3 linked regions of the Neurospora crassa OR74A genome follow. The protein of the gene in region 1 binds, or shares a complex with, the protein of each later gene. Links are inferred from orthologs where the notes say so. Each region holds a gene or a part of one and is shown in the gene's direction. Other genes may lie near its edges.

What was found. Proteins that work in one complex are often made in the same cells at the same time.
Region 2: NCU04171 (region 1) and NCU17114 share a complex: the UniProt entries of both Schizosaccharomyces pombe proteins name them as parts of the mitochondrial large ribosomal subunit. The link is inferred for Neurospora crassa OR74A from reciprocal best matches to the Schizosaccharomyces pombe genes mrpl7 and mrpl39.
Region 3: NCU04171 (region 1) and NCU07549 share a complex: the UniProt entries of both Schizosaccharomyces pombe proteins name them as parts of the mitochondrial large ribosomal subunit. The link is inferred for Neurospora crassa OR74A from reciprocal best matches to the Schizosaccharomyces pombe genes mrpl7 and mrpl51.

The regions. Positions count from the first base shown.
Region 1 is NC_026505.1:5,079,365-5,083,128, forward strand, and holds NCU04171 (mitochondrial 54S ribosomal protein YmL7/YmL5), read left to right. Parts: upstream 1-1,259; 5' UTR 1,260-1,534; coding exon 1,535-1,791; intron 1,792-1,927; coding exon 1,928-2,612; intron 2,613-2,815; coding exon 2,816-2,932; 3' UTR 2,933-3,264; downstream 3,265-3,764. Other genes in the region: NCU04170 (hypothetical protein), read left to right, coding at 1-867; NCU04172 (hsp70-like protein), read right to left, coding at 3,566-3,764. UniProt on the Schizosaccharomyces pombe protein: Component of the mitochondrial ribosome (mitoribosome), a dedicated translation machinery responsible for the synthesis of mitochondrial genome-encoded proteins, including at least some of the essential transmembrane subunits of the mitochondrial respiratory chain.
Region 2 is NC_026506.1:2,292,501-2,295,923, forward strand, and holds NCU17114 (hypothetical protein), read left to right. Parts: upstream 1-1,394; 5' UTR 1,395-1,683; coding exon 1,684-1,696; intron 1,697-1,827; coding exon 1,828-1,944; intron 1,945-2,367; coding exon 2,368-2,417; 3' UTR 2,418-2,923; downstream 2,924-3,423. Other genes in the region: ala (alanine aminotransferase), read right to left, coding at 195-312; NCU03974 (hypothetical protein), read right to left, coding at 3,233-3,423. UniProt on the Schizosaccharomyces pombe protein: Component of the mitochondrial ribosome (mitoribosome), a dedicated translation machinery responsible for the synthesis of mitochondrial genome-encoded proteins, including at least some of the essential transmembrane subunits of the mitochondrial respiratory chain.
Region 3 is NC_026503.1:4,406,055-4,409,191, reverse strand, and holds NCU07549 (mitochondrial 54S ribosomal protein MRPL51), read left to right. Parts: upstream 1-1,201; 5' UTR 1,202-1,382; coding exon 1,383-1,424; intron 1,425-1,508; coding exon 1,509-1,591; intron 1,592-1,893; coding exon 1,894-2,185; 3' UTR 2,186-2,637; downstream 2,638-3,137. Other genes in the region: NCU07548 (hypothetical protein), read right to left, coding at 15-120, 207-334, 441-702; NCU07550 (triosephosphate isomerase), read right to left, coding at 2,722-2,750, 2,814-3,137. UniProt on the Schizosaccharomyces pombe protein: Component of the mitochondrial ribosome (mitoribosome), a dedicated translation machinery responsible for the synthesis of mitochondrial genome-encoded proteins, including at least some of the essential transmembrane subunits of the mitochondrial respiratory chain.

The DNA.
Region 1 (3,764 bases):
GCCTCGCCTACAATTCCTGCTGTTGTGAACTGGGACTACCAAGGATGTGCCAGTGACTCCAACACCGCCGCGCCTACTGCTCGCGCGCTCAATGGCACCTACCTATACGACAGCGCCGGCATGACCATTCAAAAATGTCTTAACTACTGCGCCCAGCAAAACTACCCCCTCGCCGGCCTCGAGTTCCAATCCCAATGCTACTGTGGTCTCGAGTTCAAGCCCGGCTACAGCCTCGGCCAGACTGGCTGTAATCTCACCTGCGCCGGTGACCCATCAACACGCTGCGGTGGCCGCGCTCGTCTGGACGTCTTCAGACAAACTAACTACGTGACGCCCCGGCTCGTCAACCCGTCCGTGGTTAACGGGCGCTTGGCGACGCCACAGGGTTGCTTCATCGACAACTCAACGGCTCGTATTCTCAAAGCTCACTCGTACACCAACAGCACGAGCATGACGGTCGAGATGTGCCACGAACGCTGTCAGTCGAGGGGCTACAGTCTCTTTGGCGTGGAGTTCGGCAAGGAGTGTTACTGCGGCAATTCGCTCGCGGACACGGCGGTGGCGGCGTCAGAGCTGTATGAGTGCAAGAGGTCGTTCTGCGTCGGTGATAAGACGGAGTTCTGCGGTGCTGGCTCAAGGTTGTTGCTTTACAGTATTCAGCCGGCTGGGACTACTTCTCCTGCTAGGAGGAGTATAGAAAGGAGAAACGAGGGGATGGTGAAGGTGAAGTTACCCAATTTGGGCAAAGATGGGGAGTCTGATTATGAGTTGAAATGGGATGGTGATGGGGGTGTGGGACAAGTGAGAAGAAGCGGCTCTGGGCGGAAGAATATTGAGAGGCGATGGGGACGTAGTCTTGGACGGTGATGATGATACTTGGATGTTTTTTCTGTTTTCTCTTTCTTCCCCGTTACATACTTTGTTGTTATTGCTAGACATGCTGATAAGGTGTGCGCGGAATGATGTAATTATTAGTGGCTCGGAGGATACTTCGAGCAAAGGAAGCGTACGCATATACAAGTGTCTCCTAATCTAATCATACATGTCGTCTTAATGTGTTGGAATCCTGATCTGAATCGCTTATATTGGTACAAACATAGTGATATATTTCCAAATCCATGCTTTATTTAGAGTTCATCAACCACATCAGATGCATTCTCAGGGGTCCAGGAACGCTTTCAGGGGTAACAGACTCATATCCCTAACCCCAAACTCATCCAGCTTTGGCCCGTGCTGCCAAGCATTGGCCCCGGTTCGAGACTCCGCAGAGGCTCCAAAAAAAATTCCGGCGGGCGGCACAACGGGGACCGGCACCTCTTCGAGCCTCGACGCGGGACCAGGACCTTGCGCTTGCCGGAGAAGGAACCTCGCTGCCCTCTGCCCGTCCGTGACAGACCTTCGGCCCCGATTTCCCGCGTGCGCCGGACCCTCTTCCTCAACCACCACTCCGAAGCGACAACCTCCACGGTCGCCAATTCCGAAACCAGAGCGTCCGCCCGAACGCCGGTTTCTTTTTTCGGTATCCTAATTCACCATGGCCAGTCTCCGCGGGGTCTCGCGATCGGCTCGCGCTCTTCAGCCTTTCTCTGCTCAGTTCGCCGTCCGAAGATGCGCCTCGACACAAACTGGTGCCGGCGCTGCTGCCGCTACTCCCAAATCCAACATTCCCGACCTCGCCGAGCTTGAGACACGGTCGGCATTGGACGCTCCCATCCCCAGCGAAGAGGACAAGAAGGAGTTCAGGCCATGGAAGCGCGCGGCCGACAGGAAGGCGAGGTTGCCTAGCAGCAGGTGCGTTATACACTCTCCCTCCGTCCCGTGGTTTACATAGCTAGCCACACACATGTATATATACATACATATACGCAAACCATAAACAAGATGTTTAAACGTTGCTAACCACCATGCCTCACCTCCTACCGAACAGATACCAATACCACCCCCCCAAGTACAACCGCGGCCCCCTCCACCCCATCCAATCCCCTCCCTCCTCCGACCCTATCGCCCGCGACTTCGTTCCCGGCCCCTTCAACATGCCTCGTCTCAAGGAAACCTTCCGCACCGTCATGGCCTCGGACCTCATGACCCTGGCCTACATCCACACACCCCCGGGAACGCCCAAAAAGGAACCCACGGAGCGCTTGCGTGCCTGGGAGGGCGACTCGCCCTACTTCGCCAACCGTGCCCGCCGCGCGCCCCGCGGTGCCCCCGAGCTTCCCATTCGCGAGCGCGACATTTCGTTCCGCAACATCCCCGAGATCAAGGAAATCACCGTCTCCACCTTCGTGCCGCTCGGTCTCAAGAACCCGGACTTGTTGATTGTGGCCCGGGCGGTGCTGCTGGCCATGACGGGGACGATGCCGGAGATGACGAGGTCCAAGAACAACGTGGTGCAGTGGCAGCTGCAGGCGAACAAACCGGCTGGTTGCAAGACGACGATTTACGGAAACGCGGCGTGGGAGTTTATGGATCGGTTGATCCATTTGGTTCTCCCCCGGATCAAGGATTGGAAGGGCGTGCCGGCGAGTACGGGTGATGGAAGCGGTAATGTGCAGTTTGGTTTGAATCCGGAGGATGTTCAGCTTTTTCCCGAGGTGGAATGCAACTATGATGTGAGTTTGTTTCTTGGGAAATGATGGGTGGAAGAGAAAGAGAGGACGGAGGAGAACAAAAGTTTGGAGTTGGAGCCGGAGCCGAAGCTACAGTAGGGAGGGTTCTGGTTCCGGCTCTGGCTCCGGCTTTGGCCCTACCGTCTGCTTCGTCTTCTTGTTTTCTTGGACTTGACGACAGATTACTGACTTTCTATCCTCTCCAGATGTACCCCGCCAAGATGATTCCCGGTTGCCACATCGCCATCAAGACGACAGCCACCTCCGACAGGCAGGCTAAGCTTCTGCTCCAGTCCCTCGGCGTTCCTTTCTACAGCAACTAAGCGCCAAACGGGCTGTTGATCGTGAGAGGTTGAGAAAGGGACGAGATTCAAGGAAGGGGGATGAGAAGATGATGAACAACATCTCGCATCATGATAGTTGTTGGATGACAATTGAGGAGGATGAGGAGATGTGTGAAACTTGTACAATACGAATACACTAACCACATAAGGACGATGTATGTTGGGTGTATATATACCTTTTGTAACAACATCACGAGGAGGAGGCTTATAGACGAAGTGGAAAGGAAACGGAAGAAGAACAATACCACCGGGTCTGACGGTCAAAGATCAAAGAAGTAGAATCACAAATGCGTAAAACAATTGGAAGGGTGTCATCATTGCGTGAACTGGATTGTGTAAACGGACATCGTCAAGGGTATCTGCTTCATAAACAACTCCCAAGTCTAGAACCACATATCCATATCCCAGTCTAGCTTTGCACAGAACAGGTCAAGATATTATGACAACAGAACCCATTCGTCTTGATCAACCAAGGATCTCCAAACAAAAAAAACCAAACGCCTTTTCCAATGCCAAAACCAAAACCATATCTTTTCAGTCCCATTTTCCTTTCATTTGGTCATCCCCATCATGAACCCCAAACCCTCAACCTACTCATCCCCTTAGACAGCTCTAAGCAGACTTGGCCTTGTTTCTCAAAACGTCAATAACCTCATCCACTTTATCCATATCCGCCGCATCCACCTTGGTCCCGTTGTTCACCAAAACCTCATGACCGCGCTTATGCATCTCGTCCGCCGCGACATCCATAGCCGGCTGATAATTCCTCACCGCACTGCTAAGCGCATACGTAGCCTTGCGCCTCACCTTC
Region 2 (3,423 bases), on another chromosome or scaffold:
TAAGCAGGTGCCAAGACCGTTGCAACGGAGAGAGTTGCAAACGCGGGGAAAGAAAGTTGGGGAAGTTCGGGACAAGAGGAAGCAACGGTACGTTCGGGAAGGTGAAAGCGACGCAATAAAGCACATCGATCCGCGTCGGTCGGACGAGAAACTCGCGCCGCTTTGGCGAATGGCAAGGGTTTGGTGATCCTTACCTCCGCATGTCGCCGGACCCCACGCCGACTGCTGAACAGGGATTGAATAATTTCTCACGGCCGCGCTCGGCAGCCGGTGACGGGCGGTCTTGAGGGCGTTTGACAGTCCGGCAGCCATCGATGCGATTGTCGATCTCTTTCTGATGAAGTGTACGTATTGATGGATGAGGGGAGGAGGGTCTCGATACTGCCGGGTGGGGGGGGACAGGACTCCCGGAGATGCCGTCAAAGGTGAACGGGAGAAGAACTTGTCGTTGATGGTGCGCTGACTCGCTCCGAGAGTACCGAGAGGACGGGATGTGATTTAGGGCTGAGTCCAGTTTATGTCAGTTGGGTTGGGTTTTCAAACCGCATTCGACACAGCAGACGCAAAGACACTATGAATGGGGGGGGGGGGGGGGGGGGGGAAAGATAGCACGCAGAAGAACACACGAACTTTTTTTTTTTTTTCTTTTTTTCATCAAATGTAGCAACCCAAACTGAACTAATGAGCTCCGAAACAGGAGCACGGAAAGCGGTGTGGTCTAGAACTTTTTGTTACAAAAGAGTCTTCGTTCCGGTCCGGTTTTGCTCCCGCGATCCATTTCTGGCGGGGTCGCAGAGGTCCGAATCGAGACTACAGTCTTGGTACAGTATGGAGAGTCAATCAAACAAATGCCATATTCTGATTCGGACTGCTATCCGCCAGACGAGGCGGTATCGCTGAGCTGTTTCGTAGCCGCCAAGATAAGCTGCTGCTGTGCTGTGCTGCCTGACAAGCCAACGTTAAATCCGGGCCGTTGTATTCTACCTCTAGAGGTAGCTGCGGCATGTGTAGGACCAGTGGACTATATCTAGTATCCAGGAACTATCCTTTTCGTCGACTTACACAGTTCCCTTCCAGCGCCTTGTTGGCGGGACGGGCATGATTACAGCCACAGTGCTGTCAACGGTCACCATGTTGAAATTACGGTACACAAATATCAAATTTATGTTCTTGAATACATCTCTCTCAGTGTACAAGCCCAGCAAAGGTGTTGATGTTGTCAATAAATTTGTGTGAGATGTTCTGATAGATATCACGCCCGTTGTGTTTTGGCCAAGGCCTCTGGGGTTCCTCGGTGAGCTCTCAGCTCACTACACTCAGCTTGTTCCTCACCTTGCCTTCACCGATCCTACAAGTACACTAAACCGCGGGCAGCCACCTGCCAAGCCCAGCTAGGAGCGCACACGACCCACCCACAGCCCCACCACGGCCCACGCACCCCCGGCGGGCCGGCAGGCAAAATCTACAATCGCAATCGCAAGAAGCGCGGACGACCCGACGTCGATTGGAGAGCTTCCGGCGCAAAGACCGTGCTCCGTGAATCCGCCCGCCCTCCGCCCGCAGTTTGCGAACCTCTCCGTCCGGACGAGCCCCAGCCCGTCGCCCGTCGCCGTACCGCACTTGATCCAGTCCAGTCCAGGCGCGCCGTTGCACACCACAACAGCGCAACAAAAGTCGTTCAACATGGCGAAGAAGGGTAATCGACTCCATCCTCACCCGTGTGTCTGCAATTACTGCTTTGTTTTCCTAAAGGGAAAAGCGATGCAATGGGGAAACCGGAAACCGAAAACAGAAGACGATAGTTGCTGATAGGTAAACAACAAACAGCCAAGTCCCGCATCATTAACGTGCGCCTGATCTCAATGGCCATGACGGGTTATTTCTACACCTTCACCCGTCCCCGTACCTCGCTGCCTATGAGCATGCTGAAATACGATCCGATCGGTATGCGCATATCCTCTCCCCTCATTCCTATCTACCTCTTTCGCTTCCAACCACCTACATGATTGATTCGGCGGACACGACGACACGGGCATGATATGGAACTCTTTTTGGTTGCGGGCTTTCTCGATTTGCACGATTCGAAACACCCCAATACGCTTCGTCGAACGGACCTTGGGAAGCTCGCTTGGGACTGGGACTAGGACTGGGATCAGGCTGGGACGCAACAGTTCAAAGACTCGGACGATGGCATAACGTACGGACCTTCGAGAAAAGAAAAAAAAAAAAGCAACCAGCCAACCAACCGGCCAACAGAGAAGAGAGGAGGGGACGGAAGAAACACTTGCCTACGACAGACAATTTTTCCCAATCACGGATCTCGAAGAGGAAGGAATACCTACTAACCCTTTCGCCTCTCCACCATAGTTCGCCGCAAGGTCCTCTTCCTCGAACAGAAACGCAAGGGCAGGTCATAGATCGTTACTCGCCCCCGGGCCTAACGACCGTCGAACGACCGAGAGCCAGAGCGAGAACGCGGAGCCTGCGATACGGAATCAAAGAGCGTAGCGGCGAAGCAGCGACAAGTAAAAAGCTACAGCACCCCCTCCACGGATTACCACGTCACACCAAGTTACGATTTCGACCGGGTTGTGTTTCAAGCAGATCACCAGCAGACAATGGCCAGTGCTGGCGAGTGAGTTGGAGCTGGAGCTGGAGAGGGGGGTGGACCGGACCGGAACTGGACTGGATATATGGAGAAGAGAGGCGCAAGAATAAGATGGGGTCCCTCGTTCCATCCAGTCTCTGGTCGTGTATTATTACTGTACCACCGATCCATCAGTATATAACATCACCCTGTGAGTTATGGATTGGCACCATGGAGCGTTTGTTGCTTCTTCGCTCTACCGATGGGCCAGGTTGATTAGAGAATGTACAAGTCAAGAGATAAGCACAACGCCCCTCGGCCGTCGGCAATGCTGGGCGTGACCCAGGTTCACTGCCAAGTGGCTCTCCCTTCTCTTGTGTTGTGTGGTAAGGATAACTCTTCTATCGCGATCAGACAGTCTGTCATGACACCTCGACATCTTTGACTTTTCTTGCCATCGTACATCGCTTTATCTCATCTTTCTATATTTTCGTGGAAATCAAACTTTTCATTAGTCACAAGACCCGTCTCCCAACATTTTACAGGCGTTCTTTCACACTCTTCTCGTCGTATACATATTGAATCTCAATTCATTCGAAACACAGTCTCCAATCCACACAAATACGCCATGCATCGACATATGGATCATAACTTATTCCCAGGCGGAGGCAGAGGCAAGTCATCTCCGTCTTCTTTGTTTGCATTCTGCGAGAGGGTCATGGAGTCTTGGGTCTCATCATTGGCGCCCCCGTATCGCGAAAGTGGCTGGGACTGAGACCGTGATTGGGACTCGCCGTTCGTTTGACTGACCGAGTTGGTGTTTTCCGCAGGATCAA
Region 3 (3,137 bases), on another chromosome or scaffold:
GGGCTGGTCATTACCTCTCATGTCCTTTTCGCGTTCGAAAACGACAAAAGCATAGCCACGATGGGGCTTTTTCTTCTTGTTTGGGTTCTCATCGGCGTGGGTATCTCTGATGATACGGATCTGTTTTTTGGTGTCAGTTCTTGTCAATTAACACACACATAGCTGTGAAATCATGATATAGGAGGAGGGGGGGTTTGCAAACTCACACGCTCGATAGGACCGTAGCGGCTAAACTCGCGCTCGAGATCCTGTTCATCAGCACGGTAGTCAAGACGCGCTACTATCAACGTCTTGAAAGCATCTCCTCTGATGTTGGGATCGTCATTAGGGTTGTCTACAGATAAACGCCATCGGTTAGCAAGCCGCACGACAGCAAGATCATGATCAAGTAAAGGAGTAGCGAGCACAACTGCGCGTAACGTTGGGGGTTTGCCGCGTACAATTCTTGGGACCCTCGGTCAACAGCTTCTCCAAAGCTTCCTTCTTCTCGCGCTTCTTGCGGTCGCGCGCCTCCAGCCAGCTCTCGGTGGGATGGTACTCGTATTCTTGCTCGTAGGCCTGCATGGCAGGAAGGAAGTCGGCAACGGGGGTGATGAAGGCCGACTTGCGCTCTTCGGGAGCAACATCGCAGGGCGGCACCCAGCGCAGAGGTGGCCGGGGCGCAAAGAGTGCGAGGAGGTTAGGCGGGAGCCGGTCTGTCATTGTCGCTTCACGTTGTCGCTGTTGTAGCTGGTCAAGTGGTGTTTTTTTGTTGATCTTATCTGTCGTCGAATTATGAAATCGATATGTCGGAAACCAGGAAATGTAGGTCGTCTGGCGTTTGATCCACTGTTCGGAAAGCCGGGCGAGAACAGTTCAATAAGGCTGAACGCTGTTACTGTTTGCCAATTCTTGTGATGGCGATAATGTGGTGTTGTCGGTTTGCGAGAAAGGTCAAACCCGCATTTTCGCGACTTTGCTTGGACAGCTGAAGACGAGAGACAGAGGGTGGGAGGCGGGAGCAGCAAAGGGCCCTGTCTGGTGTTGTGTCGTCCACTGCCTGGCAGCCTCGCAGCGACTGGAGCTCTTGCTGGGCAGCTTTCTCGCGCGCTCGACCACCGAACGACTGAGTGCGAAAGAGGGACCGTGCACCCTTAGGTCGTCTTCGTTATCACTACGCACACACCCAAGGAGGAGTGCAATCGCGTGAAATTGATTCTGCCAACCGCTTTTGCAGTTGGGCGGGTCCCCCACCCCCAGTGCCGTGCCGGCGCGCGACGGGGCGGGAGTCTGGCAGAAGTTCAAGTCGCACCCGCCCTCCGGATCATGAACCCTGGTGGACTCGGACTTGTTGCAAGGCGAGGACGGCGGCGAAGAAGAAGAAGAAGAAGAGCATCACAACAATGACGGTAAAAGCATTGACGCAGATCTCCTCTGCCGGCCGTGTAAGTTAGACCGCAGCCTGAGCAACTAAAAACTTTAATTTTCAGAAAAAAAAGAATGCTAATCGTTGATTGTTTTGTATCTAGAATGGCGTCGGCGCATTCGTCTTGCAGTGCAAGAAGTTGGACATCCACTACAGTGACTGGGCCGGCAGCTCCCGGGGCATGAAGTACGTTTAGGATTCTTCGAATATGGACATCGCAACCTCATTCCCGATCGAACATCTTTCACATATACCAATACCTCTACACGTCCAACCAAACCGACATCCTCCCAAGATCTCGAGACCATCCCGCCGTCCCCGACCATCCATCCATCCATCCATCCACCACTACATACCCTTTTTCTCGTCCCTCCTCGTCCCTCCTCGTCCCTCCTCGTCCCTCCTCGTCCCTCCTTATCCCTCCAGTCTCCCTTCGCGACCTCAGCAGACAGACTCTTTCACTAACACTTACTTCTTCCTCCATCTAGCGGCTTCATCAAATCCCTCCTCCCCAAATTCGCCGCCGCCAACCCGCAAATCGAGTTCGTCGTCTCTCCCCGGCCCGCCAAGCACCCGATCCTCATGGGCCACTACATCAACGGGCGCACCAAGGCCATTTGCGTGCGCAACATGGAGCCGCTCGAGATCCTCAAGAAGGCCGAGCTCCTCCGCGACGCGAGCGGCGAGAAGCCCCAGAAGTTCAAGAAGCCCGTCACCAGCACGAACCCCAGTGTCAGAGGTGTCTGGTCGCCTTACCATGGGCAGGGTATGGCTGTATAAAGCGGAAAAAGGGGGAGGAGCAGGTGCTGGTGCTGGTGCTGGAATGGACTGGATCGGTGCTGGGCTGGATTTGGTGCTCGGCCGGTGTTGGCTCGGTTCAGTACCAGGTGGATTGTATATACCATGTTGAATGTATGAATATGAATTGAGGACATGAAAAGGGTTTCTGGATGTATCAAGGGTTTCGGTTTGGCTATATGGTTGTGATCAAGTCCTTCCAGAGCTATCGAGTTCCCATGATGAGTTGCCCCAGTTCCAAAGAATCTGACATTATCTTCTGGTGCTTGGTGGTTGACTGTTGATATTGGAACTTGGGATGAACATCTAAGAGCGAATGGAGGAGCCGCGGAGTTGCGGTATCTGGTGTCACAGAAGTCATGAACGGGCTACATGAAGCGAAACTACGTTCTTCAATCCCAAATCGAACAAAATCAGGACATTTAACTATTTTATATTTTCGCCGTGTCCTCAACACCATTTCCCAGCCTATATGATTGCGGCTGTAGCAAAGCTATAACTTTTTATGGGCAAGTAATTTACAGGTTGGCGTTGATGATGTCCACGACTGCATCATATCATGTTAGCCATCTTTCTTCCTCTCGTTGCAACAATGGCAGGTAGTACTTACACTCGGGCTTCAAGCTGGCACCGCCAACAAGGAAACCGTCAATGTCCTGCTCCTTGGCAAGGTCCTTGCAGTTCTTGGCGTTGACAGAGCCACCGTAGAGGATGCGGGTCTCCTCAGCAACCTTGTCGCTGACGTTCTGCTTGAGCCAGCTGCGGATGGCGGCGTGCACCTCCTGGGCCTGCTCCTTGGTGGCGACGAGGCCGGTGCCAATGGCCCAGATGGGCTCGTACGCGATAACGACGTTCTTCCAGTCGTTGATCTCCTTGGCGAGAGCGGCGAGCTGGTTCTCGACGAACTTGATGGTCTCGCCGGCCTGGCGCGTGT